7 linked regions of the Callithrix jacchus genome follow. The protein of the gene in region 7 purifies or fractionates together with the protein of the main gene of each other region. This does not show direct contact. Links are inferred from orthologs where the notes say so. Each region holds a gene or a part of one and is shown on either strand. Other genes may lie near its edges.

Region 1 (3,500 bases), on a different chromosome or scaffold from region 7:
TATTTTCCAAACCCCCAAAACACTGGAGTATGCTTCACCTAGAAACAGTTTACAGGACTAAAAGCTATAATGAATAAGCAATACAATTTGTATTTGGGATGCAATTGTGTTGTAAAGTTTCAAATAATCAATTTATAGATTTGCTGCTTTTACTTTTATAAAAATATTCATTTCACCCATGACATGACTTGCACAATGATTTCCAGACTTCTACAGATTATAAACTCTAATTGTGTTTCAGTTACACAGCAGGTGAAAATTTTAACTGAACCATTACTTCAAAATACAATGCATTAAAAGTAATTGTTACAGTATAGGTACTAATGAAAAGAATTTCCTTGGCACATAACACCACAACTTTCTCAAGTATCTATGCTATGTAAAAAGAGGATGCAATGGCCACTTTGACGAAAAACTATACCTTACAGGAGGAATAGCTTTCTTCTAATATTTGTCAATTACTCAGATTTAAAAAAAATGACTTTTGTGCAAAAACCAAATTGTGCGGATCCAAACAACAAAACATTAACTATCAAAACTAATTAATATCAATAATTCTACAACTACTGAAATGTAGCCCCAGTTCAGAACTTAGGCAGGCATAATATATGTACTGGGCTTAAAAGAAAAAGTCATCACCCACTTACAGTACCATAAATACAAGTGAAAATTAACTGTGCAATCTAACTTGCCTTTGTGTGGACAGAAATCATCCTGTAATACGGTTATTTTCATATGAACTAGAAAATGCTCACTTAAATATCCTTTTAAAAAAAACTTATGCTTATTACTGATAATTATGAAGAACAAAAATATATAAATAGTTTATAGGACAATTCACTATCATGACAAAAATATGCTGGTATAAGTTATATTCATACCTGTTGATCAGGTATTTAATCACATGACAATCAGCTTTATTTTTAGTCTCTCCAAATCCAAATAGATAGTACGGGATTTTAGTTGAAGATGTAAAACATGAAGCCAGACTAACTCCTCCAACATTACCAAACACCTATCCTTGGCTAAATGATTTTGCTTTATATTTCTAACCATGTTAAATAAGGGTTAAAATTGCCTCTTCTACCTAAAAGAGAATGTAAATACTACACACCAAGAGGTACCGCTGTTGCTGTACGTTGCCTGTAAATGCTTCAAACACAGGGTCTCAAATGTGATTATCATTGAGCTTTGAAATATCATGCCAACTTGGTAGAAGAGTCAATACTTTTACAGGTTTCATTTCTAAGACGTTATTAAAAATTTGTTTTAAGAAGATAATTTCACAGGTTGAATTTCTAAGACTTTATTAAACATTTGTTTCAAGAAGGACTTATTTACACCTCCCGCCAATAGTCATTTTGAGAATATGCAAGGCTTTTTTTCAAATAAGCTTTCTGAAACTTGATAATTTACAAAAGTTGAATATTTAGAATGACTTTGAAAGACCTGTATGTTTCAGGAGTGTAGAGTTAACTAAAGGTCAAAACGTGAAAGGTATTCATCCTAGTAACTTAAGAAATAGTGATACTCAAAGCCAAACGGTGTCTCAACATTTACTAGAATACAGGTGAAACTATAGTATTAAAAGTTATTCCTTACAAAATAATCCTTTCAAAATATAAAATGATAAACACCATCGCAAAATAGTTGAATAGCTTCTTCTAAATCTTCAGTGTTGCAAAGATCCAAAAGGCACATGGAGCTCACGAGTTAAACATTGTTAAGCTTGAAGTAGTTTTGGTGGGTCTCTCTGGTACTGTATGAAACAGACATCAATAATAAGTTTCTTAGGGGGATTCGTCTGCTGAACACCTGTAAAATTAAAAAAAATGTAAACCAATGTACAACTGTGCATGTTTATGTTTCTCCTTTGTGTGAACTCTGCAATGAAGAAACTGATTCCACAAAGGGGATATATTATTTCTATGGAATTTCATCATGTAGATGTTAAAATATAAACAAATTCAAAAATCCCTTCTGCATCTGATTTCATAACTTCCGATTGATTTGTTTTCAAATTGGAAAACAAATGAGAGGTTTTCGTTAAAATATAAGGGATTTTAAGAAGGGGTTAGGTTTGCAAGTACAAGTGAGCCTTATCAGATAGAAAGATCTTTGAGAGTGTGTCATTTCATAGGTCACAGAGTTTGTTCCAACTCGATCCCAGTGGCATCATAAACACAAAGCTACATGAAGATGCACTGAGAAGAGATATAACAGGGTTAAGGCTAAAATTAATATCACCGTATAGCTTGCTCGAGCTAAGGAGTGTGTATGTGTATGCATGCATACAAAAGTCTGGTGGAAAATTTAAAAAAAATTAAATGTAAGAACTTTTTGTTCAGTGTGAACAAAATCAAATAAGTATTTCAAGAGACAGCACAGAATCTGAAGTTGAACATAAGAGCCTTTTCTTGGTCTAGATTGAGTCCCTCTACCTTTTCCTTAACTTTTCATATGGTAGTCAAATGCAGGAACTTTAGCACTGGAACTATGCAACTAGTGGTGTTTTGTTAAATTCTGAGGGTCGTGGCAAGAACGAAATAATACCCCAATAACGTTTATAAGAGCTCAAATGAGAATATGCTCAGTGACCTTTTGTCTGTACTCCTACTAGATAAGAAAGAAAAACAGGCCATTTCATGTAGTGGAAAACTATTTTGTTATGCCTAAAGATAATAGTTCTGAAAGCTAATGTTTAATATAGGCAACAAACAAAAACTGTTTTTAAGAATACGACTGTGTATTAAAAGGTGACTTTGTTATGACTAATTGGAATGTTTGAATCAAGGGAATTACATTGCATCATAAATTAACACCCAACAGAAAATGCAAAATAACTTTCTAAATGACATTTCCAACTTACTTTTGAAATTTTTCGATTAGTTTCTTCACCATTTTATCTGTGATGCCGGGACAGGCGGCTTCAGCCACAGCAATACTTTTCTCGAGTTCTTCAATCGCCTGATTCCTGCTAGCATTATTCTCGTCCTGCTGTTTAAGCTGAGAATGATTAATAGTTAAAACGTTTAAAATATTATACTACTTAAAACAGATATCCAAGGCTAATTAATCTGTACTTACTTCAGCAAATGCAGGTGTGATTATCATAGACAAACAGCTCAGGGTTTGCACAAGATCTTGCTCCTTTGAATAAATGATATACATTATACACATGAACTTAAAATAATTGTCCTCATTTTCTTATTCTTTAACAAATATGAACCAATTTGAATCCCCACTGAAAACAAAAGACTCTATGTAAGGCAGGTCTCTAAGCTTTCTTCCTATCACTCATTCCCATTAAACATCTGGAAGTCCCAGAAGACCTCTAACTTCTGGGATTACAATAGATACCTATGATTCCTGGGCTTATGTATCTCCAGGTGAAATGTACTTAAAAAAAACCAATATACTCAAATAACTTCCAATTACCTTTTCTTAATTAGTTCAAAACTAGTGACAAATGAAGCATACTACATACACAGTGAGGCAGA
Region 2 (3,500 bases), on a different chromosome or scaffold from region 7:
TCTCACTGCCTTGGTGGATGGGCAGGTATGTGGATCTTAAAACTCCTTGCTGGTTATTTCAGACTCTGCTTTCTTTAATGTTGAGGTGCTCATGACCCTTTCCACTCTTTCTTTCTCTCCTTCCTTCCTTCCTTCCTTCCTTCCTTCCTTCCTTCCTTCCTTCCTTCCTTCCCTTCCTCCCTCCCTCCCTCCCTCCCTCCCTCCCTCCCTCCCTCCCTCCTCTCTCACCCAGGCTGAAGTGCAGTGGTACACACTCTGCTCACTGCAACCTCCACCTCCCTGGGTTGAAGCAATTCTCTGCCTCAGCCTCCTGAGTAGCTGGGATTCCAGGTCCCCGGCTAATTTCTTTGTATTTTTTTTAGTAGAGACAGCATTTCATCATCTTGGCCAGACTGGTCTTGAACTCCTGACCTTGTAATCCACCTGCCTTGGTCTCTCAAAGTGCTGAGATTACAGGTGTGAGCCACTGTACCCAGCTGACTCCACTCTTACACCACTTTGGGAATATAGTTTAGTAGAAATTGATAACATTCATTCAAACTTTAAAAAAATTTTAATCTGACAAATAATTGTGTCCGGTTTTTTAAGTGCATTATTATTTATATCAGGCACTGAACTATATGGTGGGATCACAGAGGTGGATGGTGTAACCCGTATATCCTCTCAGACTGTTTTTGGACAAGCCTGGGAGATGTAAGGAGCTAATTATTGGTTTAGGTAGATGTGTACACAAAAGAACTTACAAGAAAATTTTTTGAGTGTGAAGACGTTAGTGTCTGGCAGGGAGTAGGAGTAATATCCAAGAAGTTTTCTCAAAGGAGCTGTTAAAGGTGGAGTCTGGGTGTGACAGCAATGGTCTGTTAGGAAGAATGGGAGTGTACTCAGTAGTTCAGAGTGGGCTGGAGCAAAGATGTACCCTGCAGAGTCAACCCTCATTCAGGCAGAGCTCAGAAACACCAGTGGGGCCCAGTGATGGGGGCACCCAGCTCAGTTTTTTAAAATTTTATAGAGACACAGGGTCTTGCTGTGTTGCCCAGGCTGGTCTCAAACTCTGGGCCTCAAGCAGTCCTCCTCCCTCAGCTTCCGAAAGGGTTGCAGGCATGAGCCACTGTGCCCAGCCAAGAATGTTTACCAATTTTTTAGGTGAGGTTAACATTTTAAACCACTCGTTTCAGATATTCTGTCTACATGGTGGTCTCTCGCCATCTATAGATACACTGGATCATATCAGAGCACTTGATCGCCTACAAGAAGTTCCACATGAGGTATGACTTTTATTTGATAATACGTTTTCTGAAAAGATTTTAGGGAGTGGAGAAGTTTAATTGTAAGTTAGTTCATTATATGTATTCTCTCATTTAATTCTCAAAAACAACTTGAGGTGTGAGCATTCTTTCTGCCCTGTTCAGAAGAAGCTGACATTAAGAAATCTGCCAAGATCACAATAGCTATGGAGCTTGGTTTATTAGGACCTAGGTTGTCTGTTTCATAGCTCTGAAATTTGCATAATATAGGCAGATTAATAGGGCATGTTGCTGTTGGGTCCCATGGATGTCAGCTGTGTCTCATAAAGACTGCTAGAAAATACATCTTATTTGATGCAGATGTGTGACTTCAGTTGTACAATCTATTAGCATTTTCCACAAACATCACTCAAAAAGGGTGACTTAGGTGCTGCTTCTGTTAAATTACTCAAATACTGTGTTAACCATGTTTGTTAAAGGCAGTTTATAACTTGAAGTTACTTTTTAGGGTCCAATGTGTGACTTGCTGTGGTCAGATCCAGATGACCGTGGTGGTTGGGGTATATCTCCTCGGGGAGCTGGTTACACCTTTGGACAAGATATATCTGAGACATTTAATCATGCCAATGGCCTCACGTTGGTGTCTAGAGCTCACCAGCTAGTGATGGAGGTATGCTCTGTTCTTTGAAATACGACTTGCTTCTTAGTAAACTTAAGGAAAGATATTAGGGAATTTTAAATTAATGACTTGTGAGAAATTCCATTTATTCCTTCTGATGAGTTTGCCGTTACAGCCTGAGCCTTTTCAGTAGATGGCACACAAGAATTAAAAGCTCAAGCTTTTGATTACAATTAATTAACCATTAACATGTTTTCAGAGAATTCTGAATGGAAGTGCTTTGGGATTTAAGAGTGGGAAAGTAAGATGTAGGGAGTTGGAGTGTGTGTATAATATTTTATTATCCCACTGTTTATTCCATATATTTAACATGTATGTGTGTAGGAGAGACTGGAAAGAAATACACTAAAATGTTTTAAATGGTCCTTTGGTTAGTAGGATTACAGGTGATTGGAAAGAGACTAGTGTTCCTTTTTTTTTTTTTTGAGATGGAGTCTAGCTCTTTTGCCAGGCTATAGTTCAGTGGCGCCATCTCGGCTCACTGCAACCTCCACCTCCCAGGTTCAAGCAATTCTCCTGCCTCAGCCTCCCAAGTAGCTGGGATTACAGGCATGTACTGCCATGCCTAGCTAATCTGTGTATTTTTAGTAGAGACGGGGTTTCACCTTACTGGCCAGGATGGTCTCGATCTCCTGACCTTGTGATCCACCAACCTTGGCCTCCCAAAGTGCTGGGATTACAGGCGGGAGCCACCGTGCCTGACCAAGGCTAAGGTTCTTGACATGGCACACTGATGAGCATATTTTAAAAAATAAAGTCCTAATTAGTTTAATACTAGTATAACTCTGTGGGTATTGATAAAATCTGACTTTGCTAAAGATAAATTTGTGAACAGTACTAAACAAAAAGTAACAGAAGTAGCTCGTACATTCAGATGGATGGACTTTGAGGAAGCAAGGCTGGAAAGACTAGAGGCATGTCTCATTTGTTCCTGGGCAGTGAACCACACACTAATAGGCCTTTACCTATGACAAGAAAATTAGTGAGGTTATGGTCTCCAGGATTAGGTGTCTACCTCTCTAGGGAATGGCCACATAAATACTTATTCTTAAATCAGGTTTTAAGGCCACTGCAGTAGAAGAGGCTAATGAGACACTACCATTTTCAGCAAGTCAGATGCATAAGAAGCAGTTTATTCTTCGGTGGTTGGTGTTGTTTGTTAAAGGCTTTTTTTTTTTTCCTTTTTAGTACTAAAAAACTGAGTTTTATAATTAGGGGAAAAACAAATACATGTGTGTCTTACAGGTTGTATAAAAAGGGTTATTTACAGATTGTATAAGGGATATTTACAGGTTGTATGAAAAGGGATTATTATTACCGCAAATTCATAAGTCATCCAGAAAAAAAGCATTAATGTTTCTTAAGCCTCTTTGGCAGGGGTGGGAATGAGTAGAGATTTTCCCTTGAGTGAAGTAACATTTAGTTGTAAATAAGGGAGTAAAGTAAGATATTTATCTCATTTTCCTTGTAGGGATATAACTGGTGCCATGACCGGAATGTAGTAACGATTTTCAGTGCTCCAAACTATTGTTATCGTTGTGGTAACCAAGCTGCAATCATGGAACTTGATGATACTC
Region 3 (4,141 bases), on a different chromosome or scaffold from region 7:
CTAATCTCTTATATTTATTTTTGTTTCTTCTCACAAAGATCATCTTCTTTGGCCAAAGCTCTAGGCTAGCTTCTGTGAGTCTTCTGCCTGACTGGGCCCAACCCCTTGGGCTTCCCTTTCTGGCCTTGTCGAACCCAGTCTGTGCAAGAACGCTCCACTCTTGGTGTCTTAGTCCATTTTTTTGTTGCTATAACAGAATACCAAAGACTGGATAATTTCTAAAGGAAAGAAAGTTATTTTTTGCAGTTCTGGAGTCTGGAGAGCCCAAAGTCAAGGGGTTGGGTCTGGTGAGGACTTTCTTAAACTGCATAGGGAGAGAGCAAGAGCACGTGGGCCAGCTCAGATCGCTCCTCCTCTTATAAAGTCATCAGTCCCCTCACAGGGACCCTACCCTGATGACTTTATCTAATCCTGATTATCCCCTCAAAGCTCCACCTCCAAATACCATCAACATATGAATTTGAGGATTGAGTTTCCAACATATGGAATTTGGGAGACACATTCAAACCATAACACTTGGTATCTGACCACCCTCAATATCTTAGCACCCTATCCTGCTTTCAGCAATAATCCTGTTAGGTCAGTTTAGCAAGAAACTTCTTATCCTTGATGTTTCTCTTAGTAATTTTCTGTCCACTGACTCTCATCCTGCTTTTTGATCATAAATCCCTACTATTTCTTGTTGGAGTCAGAGTTAAGTTCAATTCCTCTTCTTCACTGCAAGGTCTGGTTGTAGCGGTCTCTAGAACTATCACCTGGGCTCTCTGACATAACGTCTGCCTTACCATCTTTAATTAGTTTCACGAGCAAATTTTCCTCTGACACTTTTCAGCATTTATTTCTCTATATTTGTCTATTGTTTGTTGGACCCACCAAGCACTGTTATGTACCATGACTGCAGACACTTGTCCCTCATTTTATCTTAACCGCTTGGCACACAGGAGACATTTATTCAATGTTTGTTGAATGAGTGATTAGCACTCATCACAACTGTAACTCTGTGAAGACTAGGATCCTACCCATTTTGTTCTTTACAAAATACCGCCTAAGACTTGAACAAGTCTTCGATAAGTGCAAAGCGATTTAGAGGAAGGAGGGGTGACTAAACTGACTGAAGAAGCTAAGGGAAGCCTCACAAATACAATTACATTGAAACTGAAACTGAAAGGGAGGAAAACTAAAAAGATCAAGAAGGGAAGAACTGCAGACAGTATCGTGCTGGTCAGCCAAGATGGCTTCTATCGCAGGCCGCCACACTTAATATGGCGACCAGGTAAAGTTCCTGGAGAAAATCACGCGAGAGTTGCATCACGGCGGCTGTCCGCGAAATAAGCTGGGGGTGTGGAGCAGCCAAGATGGAGCCGGCAGCCGGCAGTCCGGGCCCACTGATCGTGAACAACAAGCAGCCCCAGCCTCCGCCACCTCCGCCGCCGGCAACCGCACAGCCTCCACCTGGGGGACCGCGGGCCGGCGCGGGCCTCCTGCCCGGGGGCAAAGCCCGCGAGTTCAACCGCAACCAGCGCAAAGACTCGGAGGTCAGGAGCTTCGGGGGCGAGGCTCGCACCGGGCGGGGGGCGCCGGGGGTCCCGGGCATTGGGCCGCTCTAGGGGCCAGGCTGGGCTTCCCGAAGGGCTCGGTAGAGCCCGGCCGGGAGCTGTCATTATACAGCGAAAGGAGCAGGAAGCGAGGTTGGCAGCTCCTGGGGTCAGAGGCATGAAGCCCGGGTCCCCGCTCGAGCTCCGCCGCCCAGGAGAGCGTCCCGGAGCCTGCGATCGCTGGTTTGCTCTCCTGGGCCCCGGCTGTGGGCGTGGCCTCGAGGCCCCTGACCCTGGGAAGCCTCCTTCACCCCAACTCGCGGGTGGGAATTTGGGGGTCTGCGTGCACTCCAGGGCGCTGGGCGGCCGCGCCCCCAACCTCTAAACCTCTCGGGCCTCTGCCCCTGGTACTGGGGCGCAGGCTCCTGGGTCGTGCCGCGCGCAGAGGACGGCGCGTGTGGGCAGGCAAGGCACCGGCGAGGATCTAGGAGGCACTTAAGGCCAGACCGAGATAGTTATCACTGAGAGTATTGCGCTGCCGGAGGTTCCGAGAGTAGGAGGGGGAAACTATGCCTTGTTCTTCTGACCTGAGCCGGATCGGGCCATGGGTTGACAGTGCCTCTGGTGGGTATTTTGCCCAGTGCGCCTGATACTGAACTGTTAAAGATGAGAAATAGACATTTTAAAACATGCATTAGGACCCAGCATTCCTTCCTCTCTCTCTAGTGAGCAGTTCCTGCCGTTCTGGAGATGGCATAGTCTGGAGCCGACTAGTAACCTCACCCCAAGTTAAAGAATTCCTCCCACTGCCTTCCTCTGCAGAATTCATGAATGAAGATACACATGTCGGGGCGTTTTAGGGCTTCTTAATCAGCACGTTCCCAGAGCACTTACTATGCCATCTCCTATGTTAATCAGCCCCCAAGCGAATCAGCCAAGTTAATGAGAGGGAATTCCTCATTGTCCAAGCATAATGTACTCATAGAGCAATGATACTATCTTTAGACTTGTGAAATCAGTTCCTCACAAGCTTTTGTTTTTGTTAGCAAGCCTAAACCCCTGATAAAACGTGTCAACAATTGGCAACCCCAAAGTAGAAGTAATCTGAGCTTAGAGTGAATAATTTGAAAAAACAAAGAAACTGACCTTTAAGGAGCCCTTGCATGCTAGGATGATGGACATCAGTGGTAACTACTCAGTTTTTCCTTTTTTTTTTTTGAGACGGAGTTTCGCTCTTGTGACCCAGGCTGGAGTGCAATGGCGCGATCTCGGCTCACCGCACCCTCCACCTCTTGGGTTCAAGCAATTCTCCCGCCTCAGTCTCCTGAGTAGCTGGGATTACAGGCACGCGCCGCCACCACCACGCCCAGCTAATTTTTTGTATTTTTAGTAGAGACGGGGTTTCACCATGTTGACCAGGATGGTCTTGATCTCTTGACCTCGTGATCCACCGCCTCGGCCTCCCAAAATGCTGGGTTTACAGGCTTGAGAGGATTACTAAAGTGGAGGGTAGTGAACTTCCTTCATCATGAGAGGAGTTATCATTTTGAAAAACGGTTTAAATTTTCCTAAGTAGCTATGAATGGTCAAATAAATACCCTTTGACGAATTTTAATTTCTCTTTTTACCCCTTAATTTCCACATAGAGGCCGGGTGTGGTAGCTCACGCCTGTAATCCCATCACTTTGGGAAGCCCGGGGAGGGGGGGCGGATCACGAGGTCAGGAGATGGAGATCCTGGCTAACACGGTGAAACCCCGTCTCTACTAAAAATACAAAAAATTAGCAGGGTATGGAGGCACGGGGCCTGTAGTCTCAACTACTTGGGAGGCTGAGGCAGGAGAATCACTTGAACTTGGAAGGTGGAGGTTGCAGTGAGCGGAGAGAGATCATGCCACAGCACTCCAGCCTGGGCAAGAGAGCGAGACTCCGCCTCCAAATACATACATACATACATTTCCGAATAGACTAATTTAATGAAAGACCAGTCAAATGGACACATTTAAGCAGAGACCTGTCTAAATCCATTTCTTTTTTTTTTTTTTTTTTTAAGATGGGGTTTCACCATGATGGCCAGGCTGGTGTTGAACTCCTGACCTTAGGTGATCCATGCACCTCGGCCTCCCAAAGTGCTAGGATTACAGGCGTGAGCCACCGTGCCTGGCTAAATCCATTTCTTTAAAGAGGCTGATGCTGTGATCTTCCTTTAGTCATAGCTGAAATCTGTAGTTGGGAGCTTGATCAGTGAATGCCTGGAGGACAGGGAGGCTGGCATTTTATGAGAGCCCACTGTGTACTACATAATTTTGATTAGTCCTTAAAAATCTTCAAGGTAGGGTTTCATAATTGCCATTCAATGAATGAAGTAACTGAAGTTCAGTAACTTGTGTGAGTGTACACTGTGTTGTCTCTGAACATAGTGTGGAGTTCTTGTTTGTGGGAGTGGTTTTGTTTTGTTTTTGAGACAGGGTCTCCCTCTGTTGCCCAGGCTGGAGTGCTGTGGCTCTATTTCTGCTCACTGCAACCTCCACCTCCTGGGCTCAAGATATTCTCCTGCTTTAGCCTCCCCAGTAGCTGGGATTACAGGTGTGCACCACCATGCCTGGC
Region 4 (3,500 bases), on a different chromosome or scaffold from region 7:
ATGAGTTCCCAGGCTCCCACTTCCTGACACATCCCTGGCCCGACTGCCTCCCCAGCCTTCCCCACACAAATGGCTGCAGCCCCACTTTGCCTCTGATGCCAAAGGAATTCCTAGATGCCGAACTTGAAAGCAGTTCTCCGTAAGTCACTTCCTGGTACAGAGCTTCTACCAGACTCAACAGGGAATCACAAAAACATGCATTTCTAGCCTTTCAGGTATTCATGTGATACAATTTCACCTTGTCAGGATTTTAAGAACATGAAGTGTAATGGAAAACAAGACAGAACAGAAAGAAACAAAACAGAACACAGTGAAACAGCCAGGTCTGGACCCCTACGCACAGCTCTAAGAGTTCCCTCGAAGAAACTCCACTGACAACATCAAGAGGCTAAATGATGCCCAAACAGGCCCATGCTGTGTCTAACACAACAATCGCCACCAACCTGGATTATCTGAAAAAAACTCAACAAGAAACGAAATGCACACCAAACAAGTGACAAGGACCAGCGGCTCCATCCTACACCATGCTTGGGCCACCCAGGGGCCACTTACGCATCAGAATCCTCAGAGCTTGAGTCCTCATGGCTCTGCTCCGCCTTCCATCTCTTGTACCTGTCGATGAGCTCGGTCAAGTAGGAAGTTTTCTTTGCATTGCGTAGGATAAACTTGTGCTTCAGTAACTCCCTAGCAGTGGGTCTCTGGAAAAACACACACAACAACCCAAGTATGAGATGAAGCTCTCCATCCCCGCCGAAAGGACACACTTCAGCCTCAAAACATCAGCCTGCCTGATGACTGGACTCCACTCCACAGCTCTTCTCACTGTGACTCGCCCCAAGATGAGAGTCTCAGGACCTACGCCTGGACTCCGGGTGCTGTGGTGGGCATGGCACTGAGTTTCCAAGGAGGTCCTTAATATTCTACAGGTAGCCATCCAATGAAAGCACAAGAACTTCCCCCAGATAAATGCACTTCCACAGAAAACTCTGCACAGAACTTCAGAGGGATTATTCATGAGAGCTTATCTCCTAATTTATAAAATACTTTATGACAAATGCTGACAAAATACTTGTTCTGTGTCGCTTTTACTTTTTGTTTGAGACAGAGTCTTGCTCTGTTGCCCAGGTTGGAGTGCAGTGGTGAGATCTCGGCTCACTGCAACTTCTGCCGCACAGGTTCAAGCGATTCTCCTGCTTCAGCCTCCTAAGTAGCTGGGGCTACAGGAATGTGCCACTACACCTAGTGTATTATTTCTATTTTTGCAGAGATGGGGTTTCACCATGTTGGCCAGGCTAGTCTCAAACTCCTGACCTCAGGTGATCCACCCTCCTCAGACTCTCCAAGTGCTAGGATTACAGGCATGAGCCACCGTGCCTGGCCGCTTTGTTAACTTTCTGTATTAATGTTTGACCACATCCAGACACATAATAGAAATGTCAATTTGGAATTATCTCAAAGAAACCATAAGGGAGCCAGCAGATGCCCTTTTTCCTGTCTGTTGAAAGAGCGGGGTGCTCTTCATCACCCACTGTCCCAGTTTAGAAAGGCTGTTGCCCAGGTCCCTCCCTTCCCTTGTTATTGGGCTGAGGACTTCACCCATGCCCTGAGCTCAGCATGGCCACCGCAAGCAGCACCCAGCCAGCTACCTGCCTTGAAGATGGTGACAGTGATAGGGAATGTGCTTCCCAAGGAAACCAGCTTGGCCCAAATTGGAACAGACAGAAGGAACACCCAAACCCCAAGTCAAACCAAGATCCCACTCACTCCAAACTACGAAAGCTTGATTACAAGAGTCAAGCACATTTTCAGATTCAAACTCGTGAGAAACCTGATCACCTCAGGTATTCTCCCTCTCTGTCCACATGAGGGTAAAACCCCAACTACCCCTGAGGTGCTCATATTCTCGCCTCTCAGCCGGCTCCTCAGTAGCTGTAGGGTGGAGCGGTGTGTGCTGGGGAATAAGCTCGTATTAGACGCATGCTGTGCATGGGAAGGCATGCCTGCAAGCGGCCGCATCTCCACCAGTGCATGGTGGGTGCAACAAACATCATCATGCAATAAAATGCAGAGCATCATGGCACGTGGGACAAGCCTCACCACTACCTCACGCTGATGGGGTGATCAATCACTGGCGTGGTGGTCTCCGGCTGCATCTCCTTAGAGGTGCTTAGAAAATGTTGCATTCTGGCCAAGCACGGTGGCCCACACCTGTAATCCCAGCACTTTGGGAGGCCGAGGCAGTGGATCACGAGTTCAGGAGATCGAGACCAGCCTGGCCAACAAGGTGAAACCACATCTCTACCAAAAATACAAAAATTAGCTGAGTGTGGTGGTGCACGCCTGTAGTCCCAGCTACTCAGGAGGCTGAGGCAGGAGAATCCCCTGAACCCAAGAGGCGGAGGTTGCAGTGAGCCAAGATCACGCCACTGCACTCCAGCCTGGTGACAGAGTGAGAATCCGTCTCAAAAAAAAAAAAGAAAATATTGCATTTCCCACTTAATTCCTTTACCAAAACCGGTGTATTAGAAAACCACGGTGCTCTTGTAAAAGTAACCACCCATTTTTAATTAAGAGTTAGGAAAAGGGGTGCTCAGATTGGCCTTCAGCTGGAAAACTCAAACAAATCAATGACATACGGTGCTGCATCCAACACCGACACACACTGACAACTTTCAAATAAATGTCCTAATTCAAAGAGAAAACAGGGCAAAGCCAGGCAGTCGTTACTGCTGTAAGGCTCTGCCAGAGTCCATTAAACCTAAAAAGAGAAGTGGGCAGGAAGAGGCGGGGATAGCAAAGAGGGGCTTGGTTGTATTTGTATTTTCTAATCTTTTGTTTCCTAACATATGCCATCTGGAAATTGAAAACATTTACTTTAAAGACATATTTAGCCACTTATTTCCAAGCTAAACTTTCCCATTCCTAAAAACAGTGTAACAGTTTATGGCCTGATCCTCTATCGATATTAAACTTTGATGATTCCACATTTAATATTAAGGAGAATATTCTTCAGATTCAATGAAGTATGAGATGGTAGAAATCTAAAGCAAAATAAGGAAATTGCTAATACTTATAAAATGTATTTGCAAACCAAAGAGGTCAATCATACTTATTTATAGAAAAAGAAAAATGAGGAATTCCATGAAGACAGCTGAAAAGAAATCCCAACAGGATGTATCTAAACCAAGTCAAAACTCACATAGGGAGGGATGTTCAGATCCCCAGGAAACTTACAAAGCTCGGCTCCTTATTCAAACAGGCCTCCACAAACTCCTTGAGGGGTTTGCTGTAGTTTCCTTCCAATGTTGGTGGGTTGTTCTTTGGAATGAGGAATAAAACTTTCATGGGGTGCAGCTCGGAATGAGGTGGTTCCCCTCTTGCAAGTTCAATAGCTGTTATGCCCAGGGACCAGATATCTGCCTGCAACAAGAAAAGCACCTTTACCAACACCAAGCAGGAATCAATTCCAATTAACAATATTTAGGGGAAAAACGGTAAAC
Region 5 (3,512 bases), on a different chromosome or scaffold from region 7:
TGCAAGTAAAAATCTGTCAAAAAAAAAAAAAAAATATATATATGTATATCAAGTAATCTATGAAGTATTTTAGGCACCCCTAACCAGCTTGGGGGAAGGGTCTGTTCCACAGGTAAATGAGGAACTGGTGTTACACAGAAAAGTTAACATACTCTTCAGTTCTCATGCTACACACACAATATAGATATTATGGAGCACACATAACTCGGACAGTCTTTTCCTCCTTTCTTTAAAAAATAATAAAATATTTCCTTAAATCAGTAGCTGCCAAAGTTATCATTTTTTTCTCTTCCTTTTGAGGCTCAGGTTTCTTTCACTTCAAAACATATTCTTGAAGACTTAAGTTCTTCCTTTAAGAAAGATTTAATTATTTAACTCAGAAAGAAGGGGCAAAAAGTCAGGAGGTGAAACCTGAGACAGTCCTATTAGTCTTACATAACTTAAAGTTGGAACTGATTCAGTAGCTCGGCTAAAAACCTGAGGTTTAGGCACTAAGACGAGCTCTTTAGTATACTCTCCACAAACATAAATAGTTTTTAAAAATGGAAATGATCCTATCTTTTTTCTTCATTCTTAAAAGCTCATACATGTATAGTAAGTCATGATACTAACGCAAAAATGCTAAAAATGGTTACACTTAAAATGAAAAGCACTGAATTCATCCTATCACATTTAAGTAACACTATAATTGAAAGACTAGGGTGTAATTTCAGAAAATAAGTTCACTTCCTAACACTAACTTTTGCATAGCACCTCTGTAAGTATGCAATAAGTACTTAATAAGTGCTGCAGGGAACATCAAAAAGTGATTTTCAAATGCAATATATGTATGTGCAACCAACTTGTAAAAAAAACTCTCAATATATATAAAGTACAGTTCTCATGCTTAATTAAATTAGCTTTGATTATTGCAAATGATTCCTTCAAGAGCAAGTATATAGCAAACCTTTCAAAAATCTTAGGTTTACACCAGCAACTGTCCTTACTTAGAAAGGTCTTGATCTGAACTCAACTAAAGCTATGTGTTAACTACATTTCACCACAAAGACACCTGAGCACCAGGGTAATAATGGCCACGGATTCCCCGAATTGCTTTGAGAACTGCTGCTTGCTTAATAAAGAGCTGAACTGTGAATTCACCTTTCTCAACAGACTGAAAGCAAGACGCCAAGTTTCACAATCTAGTTTGGGATTTCTCTGGGAATGACTACGTTATCAAGATGCCATAGCTCTCCTGAGGCTTTTAATTACAATACCTTCTCTGTTTTCCATTCAACCACCTCAATCAAATTTCCACTAGAACCAGGCACACAAACAGTTGATTCCTGGCTTTGCGCAAAGCCTCCTGTGGATGCAAAGCCTGGGATCCTGCAAAAGTCAGGCCTTTCAGGGAGGGCAAAGGTGGGGTGGGGGAGGAGTTTGTTAAACAATGCAGTTGGACAATGTGGTGGTGACATTACCTTGCCTGTCTTGTGATCAAACCAGACGAGAGCGTGGTTCCTTGACAGCACTTTGCAATCAAAAGTGGCATTATTCTGCGCTGGTCGACAGCGGGCCACTGAACGGCCGATTTTGATGGGCTCGTCCAGGTAGACATGACGCTCCTGAAACGGGTGCGAGTTTGGGCGGCAAGTGAAGATGGCCAAGGCTGACGGCATCGAGGATAGGCTTGGGGTGTCTCTCCTACCAGGGACAAAGAGGAGTTCCTCCGGATCCGGGCTGCCCTTCACAAGCCTATACCCCTATCCCACCCAAAATTTTAAATTAAAACAAACTGCACATTGTCTATGCATAACCAGTGAACATCAACAACTCTTCACTTGGGTGGGAAGACAAGCCAGCGCAAGCCCCATCACCTCCTCCAAAACCCAGCAGTGCCCTAATCACGAAAAGTCCCCAACGGGCAGCTTTCAGTCCATCTTCCTCTCTGGGAAGAAACGGCTCAAACATCGGGCAGCTTCGGCCAAGAAAACTCCTGGAGCACAGTTTGGGGACTGGAGGTATCCAAGCAGATGAGTCACACTCCAATTCTTGTGTTTGGTTTGAGATCGCGGCCGCTTTTCCCCCTCGGTGGCGGAAACGCTGCAGCACTGCAGCATGAAGGAAGGGTCGTGGTTCGGCGCGGCCAGGAAAGTCCTTTTGGGCCGAAGGAAGGTGTGGCCGGGCACCTCCGGGCAGCCACCGCCCGTGCTCGCCCGGAGTGGAGGGCGAGAGGTGACGGAGGCGGAGGGGCTCTAAACGGCCGGCGGGACAGTCTGCATCGCCCCTGCTGCGCGGAGGCCGCCCCGGGAAGGGGGACTCGGTCCCCGGCGTGGCGAGGCGGCAGTGCCTGGGGTCCTCAGCGCGAGGCGTGGGGGCCGGCGGGGCGCGAGCAGTGGCCAAGTCGGGACTCCTGGGCACCTGGCGGGTGTCCCCGCGACCAGGGCGGGGACCCGGCTCCGCAGGCCGGTGCGGACCGAGCGAGGCGCGACACCGGGAGGTTCGGGTTCTCGGGCGGCAGGAAGTTGGTCCCCGGACGCCTGGGCTCCTGGTCGCCGCCGCTCAGCACATGGGCCGCCTCCCCTCAGGGTCGCCCCCGCGAGGGTCGCATCTCAGGGACAGCAGTCGCAGCTCCGGGCGGACGAGAAGGTGGGGGAGGGAGACTGGCCCGGAGGTTAGGGAGAGGCCTGGAGGCCCCGGGCTGGGTCCGCCGCAGCCTCCACCGATCACGGCCAATGGAGCAAGCTCAAGCTGCGCCGGACGAGGCAGGAAACTTTCCGACCTGGTGGGGAAAATATCAAAACAAACGGCCGTCAGGCGCCTCAGCCCGCCCGCCTCAGCCCTCGCCCCCTCCAGCCAGACCCCCGCCAGCTCCCACCGCTAGGCATGACCTCCGCCGACCTCTCCACAAGCGGGCTGCGAGGATTTGGAGGCAGGACGCCACGACGGGTTCTACCTCCCTAGCCGCCACCGCCGCCTCAGCTTACCTTGCCAGCGCCGGCCGCCATAGTGACTCTGACTGAAACCTACCGGGTACACCGCCACGGGAACGCGCTCCCTTCAAGGGCCCTCCTACCCCCTCTCCCGCGCCGTAGTCCAGGAATGTCACGTGAGCGACGCCACGGAAGCCGTGTTGGTCGAGGGCAGAAAAACGGGCAAGCTAATTTCTAACGCGCCTCTAGGCGCCATCTTATTTAAGGGCTGGAAGCTTCAAACCTCGGGACAACCACAACGACCATTTTCGTTAAGGGCAAGAACAATTCGCGCGCTAGAAGATTTTCGAAACAAACCGTGCCACCTTCTTATTTTATCTACTTGGAAAGGAGATGCCAACCTTTGCTAAATTTTATTCGCTTTAATCCTCGATGAAAATACTAGTGAGCAAAAAGCAGAGGCGGCCAAAGGAGATGGTCATAAGCAGCCATCTTAGCTGTGGGCAACAGAGTCGCCCGCAGCCACCTTAAGTGTGAGCAGCCAAATTCCCTCAAGTCTTAGGATGTTCGCCTAACCGAAGGACCATCCTCCCCTCTGCT
Region 6 (4,191 bases), on a different chromosome or scaffold from region 7:
GGCGGATCATCTGAGGTCAGTAGTTTGAGACCAGCCTGGTCAACCTGGAGAAACCCCATCTCTTCTAAAAATACGAAAAAAAAATTAGCCAGGGGTGGTGGCGCATGCCCAGTTACTCAGGAGTCTGAGGCAGGAGAATCACTTGAACCCAGGAGGTGGAGGCTGCAGTGTGCCAAGACTGCATCACTGCACTCCAGCCTGGGCAACAGTGGGAGACTCTGCCAGAAAAAAAAAAAAAAAAAAAAAAAAAGGGCCATTACACATCTGCTTCCTCTTCCTCGGAGGCTCCTCCCCACCTTCTTTCAGTCTCTTCTCAAACTCTGCATCCTCAGAGGGGCGTTGCCCGAATGGCCTACTTAAAATGCATCTGCCCCACCCAACTTTGTAATCCTGCTTCCTCTGCCTTCAGGTGTGTTCTCAAACATCATCTCAACAAGGCCTCCCCAGACTACACTTTAAAACTGCATCTCCTCTCTCTCTTACTTTTCTCCCTGACACTCATCCGCATGTAATACAGTATACTCTTCGTTTACTGTCTGTCTTTCCTCACTACAAGGTAAACTCCCCAAGTGCGGGATTTTTTGTCTCGTTCCCTGCTATACCAGTGCCTAGAACAGTGCCCCGCACAGAACACTCGCCCAATTCAATGTGGATTCACTACCACAACATCCTGTTTGTTCCCTTCCCATCACTTTTCATTCAGCTCTGTTGGCCTGTTTCACACGCAGATCCTGTAGAGCAACTGGTGTCTCCACTACACCCCCAGCATCATACCTGATACACGCCATGTGTTTACTGAACAAAAGAATTCATACGGCCGGGCGCGGTGGCTCACGCCTGTAATCCCAACACTTTGGGAGGCCGAGGCGGGTGGATCATGAGGTCAGGAGTTTAAGACCAGCCTCACCAATATAGTGAAAGCCCATCTCTACTAAAAATACAAAAATTAGCCAGCTGTGGTGACATGCACCTGTAGTCCCAGCTACTCTGGAGGCTGAGGCAGGAGAATCGCTTGAACCTGGGAGGCGGAGGTTGCAGTGAGCCAAGATCATGCCACTGCATTCCAGCCTGGGCGACAGAGTGAGACTCCATCTCAAAAAAAAAAAAAAAATTCAATACAACAGCCCTATGAACTACATAATTATCCCCAATCAAGAGAAGAGCAAACAGAGGCCTAGAGAGATTAACTAATTTGTCCATGTCAATCAGTGAGAAGTGGAAGGGCCAGGAGTACAACCACGGTCTGTCTGCCACCAGAAAGTGATATACCAGGAACCTAGGGATGGGACCCACGTTTTGTAGGTTACCCAGTGCACTTGTTCAATTTTATAAACGGGAAAACTGAGGCCTAAAGGGAGGATGGGACCTCTTTAATCACCACTCCCAATAAGTGCAGCTAATATTTATCCGGCCCTTATGGCAGGCCTGACAGCACTCAACTTTGTGTCATAATTCATTCAGCCCTTCAACAAGTCCCTCCAGCAAGACGAGGGCTACAATTAGCCCACATTTTATGGGACAGAGGCCCAGAGCGGTGAAATAATTTGCACAAGGTCACACAGCGGGTGGGAGGTGAACTTGAAGTCCTAACTGTTTTCAATCCCACACCACCTTGGGCCACCTCATCCCATAACCAGAAATGTTCACCCGGGCCGGGCGCGGTGGCTCACCCCTGTAATCCTAGCACTTTGGGAGGCCGAGGCGGGTGGATCGCCTAAGGTCAGGAGTTTGAGACCAAGCCTGGCTAGCAAAGCAAAATCCCATCTCTACTAAGAATACAAAAATTAGTTGGGCGTGGTGGATCGCGGCGGTAATCTCAGCTACTTAGGGGGCTGAGGCGCGAGGACGACTTGAACCCGGGAGGCGAGGCTGCACTGAGCCGAGATCGCGCCTCTGCACCCCCACCTGGGTGACACAGCGAGCTCGGTATCGAAAAAAAAAAAAAATTAGGAAGAAATGTTCATCGGCTTAGCAAAGCCTTCGCCCCCTATCCTGGTCAATGGGAGGATCCGGGGGTGGGGAGGCAGCTTTCTACAATGTAATTCGCCCCTAAATTTGGCTAGTCCCCACTTTTTGGGGGGGGCGCTGTTTCTGCATCCCCCTCCTCTTAGGACACCTACACCAAAATGAGAAGCGTAGGAAAAGCAGGAATTGCGATGGCAGGCTTTCGCCTCTCGGTCCCCACTTGGCCCAGGAGTATAAACCCAGAAAAGAAAAAAAAAACAAAAAACTCTCCAGGTCCCGATCCACCAGGCGGCCCTCCCCCACTCGGAGCAAGTCACGCGCGCCCCACATCCCCAAGGGACCATTCGGAAGCCGCCGCCAATCACGGAGTCCTCCTCTCTCCTCTCCCCAACCCAGCCCACCGATCGTAGCCCAGGTCGCGGCCTCCCAGGACCCAGGGCCACCGCGCGCACTCTGCAGGCCCGGGACCCTCGAGGCTGGCGCTGGCCCCCGCCCTCCGCTGGGTCGACACCCAATCGGGGGCGCCGTCTCAATGAGTCCGGGCACCCGGGGAGGTAAGAAAAGCACACTGATTGGCCGCCGCTTCCTTCCGCCACTCCCAGCGAACGCTGAGTCTTCGCGAGTGCTGCCGGTGTCCCAAGATCCCCCTCCCCACTTCCCTAACTCCCCCGTAGCCTCCGGACCTGAACATCCTCGTTGCGGAGTTCGTCTATGAGCACCGCGATGGGGTACAACGAGTCGTCGCCGTCGGCCGCCGCCATCTTGGCTCCGTCCCGTTCCTGTCAGACTGCGGCCAGCGCTGTGCTGAAACCCGGGGCAGAGCTGGGAGGAGGAGGAGGAAACGCGCGCGTGGGGGCGCCCAAGCCAGTTTACAGGGGCTGCTCCATGGTCATTGGCCGCGCTACGCCGGGCTAAGCCCGCGTTTCTTTGGTCCAGACTAGTGAAGTCCCGCCCATTTCCCATTTGCCATTGGTCGATTGAACGAGATTTGACTAGTTTGAGCCTAGGAGAGCGAGAAAGAGGAACTTAGCGGTGTCCTAGCGACCAACATTGTACCCGCCCTCGTCTCCGCTGACAACGACCGAGACGAGCAGTTGTTTGTAGCCAATGAAGGGCGAGATGGGGAGGAGGCTAAGCCTGCCTTTCGGTAAATCCCGGAGGCTTCTGCGCGTGCGTCGATGGTAATACATGACGTCATGTGGGGAGCGGTAGGGTGTGCAGGTTTTGGGTTATCAAGCCGTGGTTCCATTGGCTGGCGGAGTGGCCCCCCCCCCGCGCCTTTGCGCGGGAGGAGAACGGAATGAGACTTTGTATTTATTTTATGCCAAGGCCTAGAGAAGGGAGTGACTTGCCCTGTTCTCTCTCTTTCTCTATCTTTTTTTTTTTTTTTTTGCTTTTTTAAAGACATTGTCTCGCTGTGTTGCCCAGGCTGGAGTGCAGTGGCGCGATCTCGGCTCATTGCCGCCTGGACCTCCCCAGTCTGAAACGACCCTCTGGCCTCAGCCTGCAGAAAATTTTTGTAGAACCGAGTCTATGTTGAGCTCAGTTGTCTTGCTCTTTGGATGAAACCCAAACCCCTCGGCTGGTATCCAATACCCAGATTACAGGCGCGAGGCATCAAGCCAGGCCTAATCTCTGTTTTTAACCTCCCTAAACACATTGCCCCCCCCCCACCAACCCACCCACTGAAATCTTAGGACCACTGTAACTAAGGGAGTTGGAGGGATGGGAAGGCCTGGGATGCTCTTTCCTCTTTCATTCTGCTACGCTTGAAGGGCTGGACTGAGCTAGCGCTCTGACAGGTCTGAATGCCCCCAGCATCTTTTTCTTTCTTTTTTTTTTTGAGATGGAGTCTCAGTCTGTCGCCCAGGCTGCAGTGCAGTTGCCTGATCTCAGCACAGTGCAACCTCTACCTCCCTGGCTCAAGTGATTCTGCTGCCTCAGCCTCCGGAGTAGCTGGGTAAATTTTGTATTTTTAGTAGAGACGGGGTTTTCACCACTTTGGGCTAGGCTGACCTCAAACTCCTGACCTCAGGGTGATCTGCCTGCCTTGGCCTTCTAAAGCGAGCCACCACACCTGGCCTTTTCTTTCTTTCTTTTCTTTTCTTTTTTTTTTTTTTTTGAGATGGAGTTTCGTTCTTGTCACCCAGGCTGAAGTGCAGTGACGCGATCTCAGCTCACTGCAATCTCTGCATCCCAAGTTCAAGCGATTCTCCTGCCTCAGCC
Region 7 (4,151 bases):
CTGAGCAACACTAACCTTATACTGTCATTTGGGCAAGAGGACAAGTTTTATATCCATTTTACCAATGAGGAAATAGATGCATGGATTCCAAATCTAAAAAGCCAAATGATAGCACCACAAAGCAAGAAAAGAGCCAAACTAGTCCCAAAAATAGAACTTCTGATCCCCAGTCCGGTGTTTTATTCTTGAGCCAAGTTGAATTCCCAGGGTCCTGTTTGCTTTTTACCTATATAGAAACCACCTCAAACTCATTAGGTGGGGGGAAAAAAAGCAAATTCCCTCATCCTACCCCACAAACGGAACATGAAAGATATTATGAAAAGTTTTTTGGGTCAGCAATAGAAAAGAAATAAGAATGCATATGAAATTTTAAAGAATAAAAAAAAGTCAAATGTTTTCCAGACATAAAAGCCTAGCAAACCATTTTAATTAGGTGTCACAGTTAATTATAAGATCAATGAATGTTTACGGATGGGCTTTTTAAAAATCGTAATTAACATCCGATTTATGAAAAACTCTTCTCCAGACTGCATAATGAAATACAAAATGAACTACATTTAAAATCTGTTTTGTTAACTATAAAAACCTACCTATTCAGGGAAAGGAATTATAAACAGCAGATAGCTTAAAGCATAATTTTATTAGCAATTCAGAAAAACAATGACAAGAGTTTCTAAGAATTTGCATGTTCATTTCCTGTATGTGAAACCACACAAAAGTTTGAATATTTTATAATATGCATTTACTTTATCACCTTTTTTGAAGACCATTGTGCTTCCCCTCTTTTTTGGCCAGGAAGTAGAGTAGGAGGAAGACTGTTTTCCAAACTCTCTAACAAGTTTCAAATTTTATAAACAAACTTCAGTAAAAAAGGAATATTCTACACTTTTCAACCTGTTTTTATAGTGCCTATCTTAACTAGCCATAATACACTTACTTACATTATTTTCTATAGGTAGTTTCAAATTACAAGTGAATTTTTTTTAACCAAGTTTAAAAAAATTTTTTTTCTTTTCTGTGTTAGTCATATTCTCGCCCACTTTACCACCCAAAGACTTTCGCAGTCAGACTTCTGGCAGAAGGTTTAGAACATTCTGCTGCTGATAAAAGAGAAACCACCGCCCACCCAAGACAGCAATTGCCAGCTGTTTTTTGGTTAAGAAAAATTTAAGGAAATTCAAGTCAAAATTTTTAAGCCAACCACAGAAAATAAATGGGAATATGTATGAAATATAAGAAAACTTTTAAAGAATAAAAAAAATTTCGAATGTTTTCCAGATAATAAAAGCCTAGCAATCATTTAAATTAGGCATTACATTAATTATAAGATCAATGAATGTTTACAGATTGGAAACCCTTCTGTTTCCCTTAACTGCAAGTAAACTACACCTACCACTACAGGAATACAAAGAAATATTCTGACTACTGATATACCCTAGATGTGTCTTTAAATGTCAAGAATCTAGTTTAAATTTTTTTCATGTTCAAGTTATTCGTCTCTGATATTAAGTAGTACATAATATGAACTGACCCATATGAAAATAAAAAAATTTAAAATATAGTTATGGTTTTCATAGAAACATAATCATAAGAAAGAAACGATGCATACAAATTACATATAAAAATAAGCACTGATACAGGCATATCATTGTATCTGAAAGCAAAGAATATTTTCACTGTCCTTGAAAACAGTGCAATGAATACATGTTTGGAACTGTATTCAATTAATTTTTAAAGTTGGAAGAAAGACTTTGGAAGTAATGGCGCTGGAGGATTTTTTTTTTTTAAATACACGTTCCCTTAGAATTGTGGCTGAATTTAAGTTTCATATTCAAACAATTATGACAATTCAGGAAGGAACTAACCTAATCTAAACCAGTTATTTCTAACCTACAGACTAATGAGTCAGTGGAAGAGTTGCCTGAATGCACATACTCCAAGCACTGTCTGTAGTCTAAAACATTTCTGCTCCATTTTTCTAACATAAACAGATATTATAAAAATAAAATACAAAGTCATTTAAAAGCATAGTAGTTTTCTGTCATATATAATTTCAATCAACAATTACTAAAAGTACAATTGCGTAAGTGTAGGATTTCTTAAATTCAAAACAGATCAGGGGCCTTTAAGCTAATGCACAAAGTTCCTTCTGGCTCCAAAATTCTTTGATATTAAAAGATGAAGAACTCTTAACGGTGAATTCTTTAGCACTATTCCATTTCTATAAGCATACATAGGTACATATAAATAATGCTTACTACGAGCCAAGCATTGGACTCTTCGTCAGAGATGAATAAGACATGATTCCAGACCCAGGTTCAAATTGGCAGGAGAGACAGATACATAAACAAATAATACAACCTAATAAATACTGCAGAAGAAATGTTTCAAACGCGTTGGGAACACAGCGGTATCCATTCACCTGCGGGAGTCTGAGAAGAAAAAATTTATGATTTGGGTTTTGATAGGTGGTAAAACAGAGGAACAGTAAGCGTTCTAGACAGATGGTACCGCACGTACAGAAGTACAGAGTTGTCAAAGTGCATGGCATGTTTGAGGAAACAGCCAGTATAATCTGCTATGGTCAGATATTAAAGCAAGACTAAAAGGTAAAATGGATTGGGACAGACTGTAAAAGATCCTGAATGATGATGTACTTAACAATTAGGATTTGATTCTGTCAGCAATATGGTTACTAAAAAGTTTAAGGAAAGAACAGAGATAAATATGTATTTTAGAATAACTCTATGGAAGGATTATAGTAGGGAAACCAGTGTAGTAGGGCAAGGGGCAACTAGAGTATTTCTGGCGAAAGAAAAAATAATACAGTGCAGTGAGTGGAAATGAAGAACCAAGAATAATTCCTGGTTTTCTAGTTCGGATAACAGGACAGATAAGGAACCATTATCAGGGATGGGATACAGAAGGACGACAGGAAGAGAACCAGAACAGAGTAATGCTCCTTGGAGAGCAGTTTCAAGAAACAAGTTATCTTCATTAAACGCTGCTAACAGGTGACTGAAAGGGTCCCCCGTCCGGTGGTGAGCTCGCAGGTGGGTAAGGCAGGAAGAAAGCAGATACGGAAGATGTGTCCACAGGGTTAGGGCCAAGGCTTTTCATTAAACTTTCTGAACCGCAGCTCCATTAAGAGGAGCTCGGAGCCGGGGGACACGGAGAAAAAGTCCGGCTCCCAGGAGTTGGGAGCCCGCGGCTGGAAGCGGCCGGGAGCTGGCGCCGGTGGTTCTAGAGGCGCAGGGCACCGGCCTCAATGAAGGACGCCCGCGACTCGCCCACCACCGCTCCTGTCCCTGGATTTAGTCTACTTACTCTCCTTTTAGTCCCTCGCAGGCGTCAGCTGTGGCGATCCAACTCAATGCCTCAACCAACCCGGACGTATGCACCCAAGGGAAGAAACTCCTCGCCCCTAATCCGCCTCCTCAGCGAGCAGACGCAGAACCGGACCGAGGTGGCAGGGGGGTGGCCGAGAGGCCAGCGGTATTCAGCCCCATCACCGACTGGGGAGACACCTCCGCCGACCGCCTCCGACCGTCGCTCCCGGAGGACTCCAGCCTCGCGAGATTTCCTTCCTCGCGTTACGGTGAGGCAGAGCCGACCTCTAGCCGCTTTGCGCGAGCATGCGGGGCGGGGCCCTTTTATGTCCCTCCCTGTCCTCCCCTCTCAGGTTTTCACTCGGCCTCTCGCAAAGTCTCGCGATTTTTTCCAGGGGAAAGCGGCCTGGGTGGAGAGACCGAGAAGGGGAGACCGAGTGGGTGGGCCCTACGTTTAGGGTGCCGTGTCTGGTTTAGCCAGTACTGTGGTTGGTACTTCGCTGTTTGGGAGGCTTTCAGGTCGCCCAGATCCTTCTTCCCAATGGGTGACTGGGAAAATTAGCGGGTAGAAAATCTCGAGGGGTGGAGGCGTGTTTTTTTCTCCTTGGCCCCGCCCTCTTCCTGTTCGGCGACTGAGGCGCCTGGCCCTCCGAGGGGGAAGGGAGGCTTGGTGGGGTGGTGGGGGTGTCCATCGGAGAGCGCTGTGCGCACGCGCGAGCCCTAGTGTGTGAGAGTGTGCACGCGCACGCGCGCTCCTGCACTTAGGAAGCCTGGGAAGGACCGGTGTGCTAGGAGATGATCGGGGAAAGCACAGTCCCCTGT

What was found.
Region 1: the proteins of FGFR1OP2 (region 7) and STK26 purify together in Homo sapiens (affinity purification with mass spectrometry; 4 studies listed by BioGRID and IntAct, with this or other methods). This does not show direct contact. The link is inferred for Callithrix jacchus from reciprocal best matches to the Homo sapiens genes FGFR1OP2 and STK26.
Region 2: the proteins of FGFR1OP2 (region 7) and PPP2CA purify together in Homo sapiens (affinity purification with mass spectrometry; 4 studies listed by BioGRID and IntAct, with this or other methods). This does not show direct contact. The link is inferred for Callithrix jacchus from reciprocal best matches to the Homo sapiens genes FGFR1OP2 and PPP2CA.
Region 3: the proteins of FGFR1OP2 (region 7) and STRIP1 purify together in Homo sapiens (affinity purification with mass spectrometry; 3 studies listed by BioGRID and IntAct, with this or other methods). This does not show direct contact. The link is inferred for Callithrix jacchus from reciprocal best matches to the Homo sapiens genes FGFR1OP2 and STRIP1.
Region 4: the proteins of FGFR1OP2 (region 7) and STK24 purify together in Homo sapiens (affinity purification with mass spectrometry; 4 studies listed by BioGRID and IntAct, with this or other methods). This does not show direct contact. The link is inferred for Callithrix jacchus from reciprocal best matches to the Homo sapiens genes FGFR1OP2 and STK24.
Region 5: the proteins of FGFR1OP2 (region 7) and SLMAP purify together in Homo sapiens (affinity purification with mass spectrometry; 3 studies listed by BioGRID and IntAct, with this or other methods). This does not show direct contact. The link is inferred for Callithrix jacchus from reciprocal best matches to the Homo sapiens genes FGFR1OP2 and SLMAP.
Region 6: the proteins of FGFR1OP2 (region 7) and PPP2R1A purify together in Homo sapiens (affinity purification with mass spectrometry; 5 studies listed by BioGRID and IntAct, with this or other methods). This does not show direct contact. The link is inferred for Callithrix jacchus from reciprocal best matches to the Homo sapiens genes FGFR1OP2 and PPP2R1A.

Annotation. Positions count from the first base shown.
Region 1 is NC_133524.1:127,632,449-127,635,948, reverse strand, and holds part of STK26 (serine/threonine-protein kinase 26), read right to left. Parts: intron 3,151-3,500; coding exon 3,088-3,150; intron 3,007-3,087; coding exon 2,870-3,006; intron 1,816-2,869; coding exon of another isoform or gene 1,791-1,815; exon of another isoform or gene 1,760-1,790; coding exon 1,714-1,759; 3' UTR 1-1,713. UniProt on the Homo sapiens protein: Serine/threonine-protein kinase that acts as a mediator of cell growth. Modulates apoptosis. In association with STK24 negatively regulates Golgi reorientation in polarized cell migration upon RHO activation.
Region 2 is NC_133503.1:74,131,582-74,135,081, forward strand, and holds part of PPP2CA (serine/threonine-protein phosphatase 2A catalytic subunit alpha isoform), read left to right. Parts: coding exon 1-25; intron 26-1,175; coding exon 1,176-1,265; intron 1,266-1,752; coding exon 1,753-1,914; intron 1,915-3,394; coding exon 3,395-3,500. UniProt on the Homo sapiens protein: Catalytic subunit of protein phosphatase 2A (PP2A), a serine/threonine phosphatase involved in the regulation of a wide variety of enzymes, signal transduction pathways, and cellular events.
Region 3 is NC_133508.1:147,887,808-147,891,948, forward strand, and holds the start of STRIP1 (striatin-interacting protein 1), read left to right. Parts: upstream 1-1,341; 5' UTR 1,342-1,355; coding exon 1,356-1,535; intron 1,536-4,141. UniProt on the Homo sapiens protein: Plays a role in the regulation of cell morphology and cytoskeletal organization. Required in the cortical actin filament dynamics and cell shape. Part of the striatin-interacting phosphatase and kinase (STRIPAK) complexes.
Region 4 is NC_133502.1:14,170,682-14,174,181, forward strand, and holds part of STK24 (serine/threonine-protein kinase 24), read right to left. Parts: intron 3,421-3,500; coding exon 3,235-3,420; intron 699-3,234; coding exon 553-698; intron 1-552. UniProt on the Homo sapiens protein: Serine/threonine-protein kinase that acts on both serine and threonine residues and promotes apoptosis in response to stress stimuli and caspase activation.
Region 5 is NC_133516.1:39,559,933-39,563,444, reverse strand, and holds the start of SLMAP (sarcolemmal membrane-associated protein), read right to left. Parts: upstream 2,013-3,512; 5' UTR 1,659-2,012; coding exon 1,461-1,658; intron 1-1,460. Other genes in the region: uncharacterized protein LOC144579547, read left to right, coding at 2,013-3,002. UniProt on the Homo sapiens protein: Associates with the striatin-interacting phosphatase and kinase (STRIPAK) core complex, forming the extended (SIKE1:SLMAP)STRIPAK complex.
Region 6 is NC_133523.1:45,575,234-45,579,424, reverse strand, and holds the start of PPP2R1A (serine/threonine-protein phosphatase 2A 65 kDa regulatory subunit A alpha isoform), read right to left. Parts: upstream 2,801-4,191; 5' UTR 2,727-2,800; coding exon 2,649-2,726; intron 1-2,648. UniProt on the Homo sapiens protein: The PR65 subunit of protein phosphatase 2A serves as a scaffolding molecule to coordinate the assembly of the catalytic subunit and a variable regulatory B subunit.
Region 7 is NC_133510.1:44,307,404-44,311,554, forward strand, and holds the start of FGFR1OP2 (FGFR1 oncogene partner 2), read right to left. Parts: upstream 2,801-4,151; 5' UTR 2,552-2,800; coding exon 2,362-2,551; intron 1-2,361. UniProt on the Homo sapiens protein: May be involved in wound healing pathway.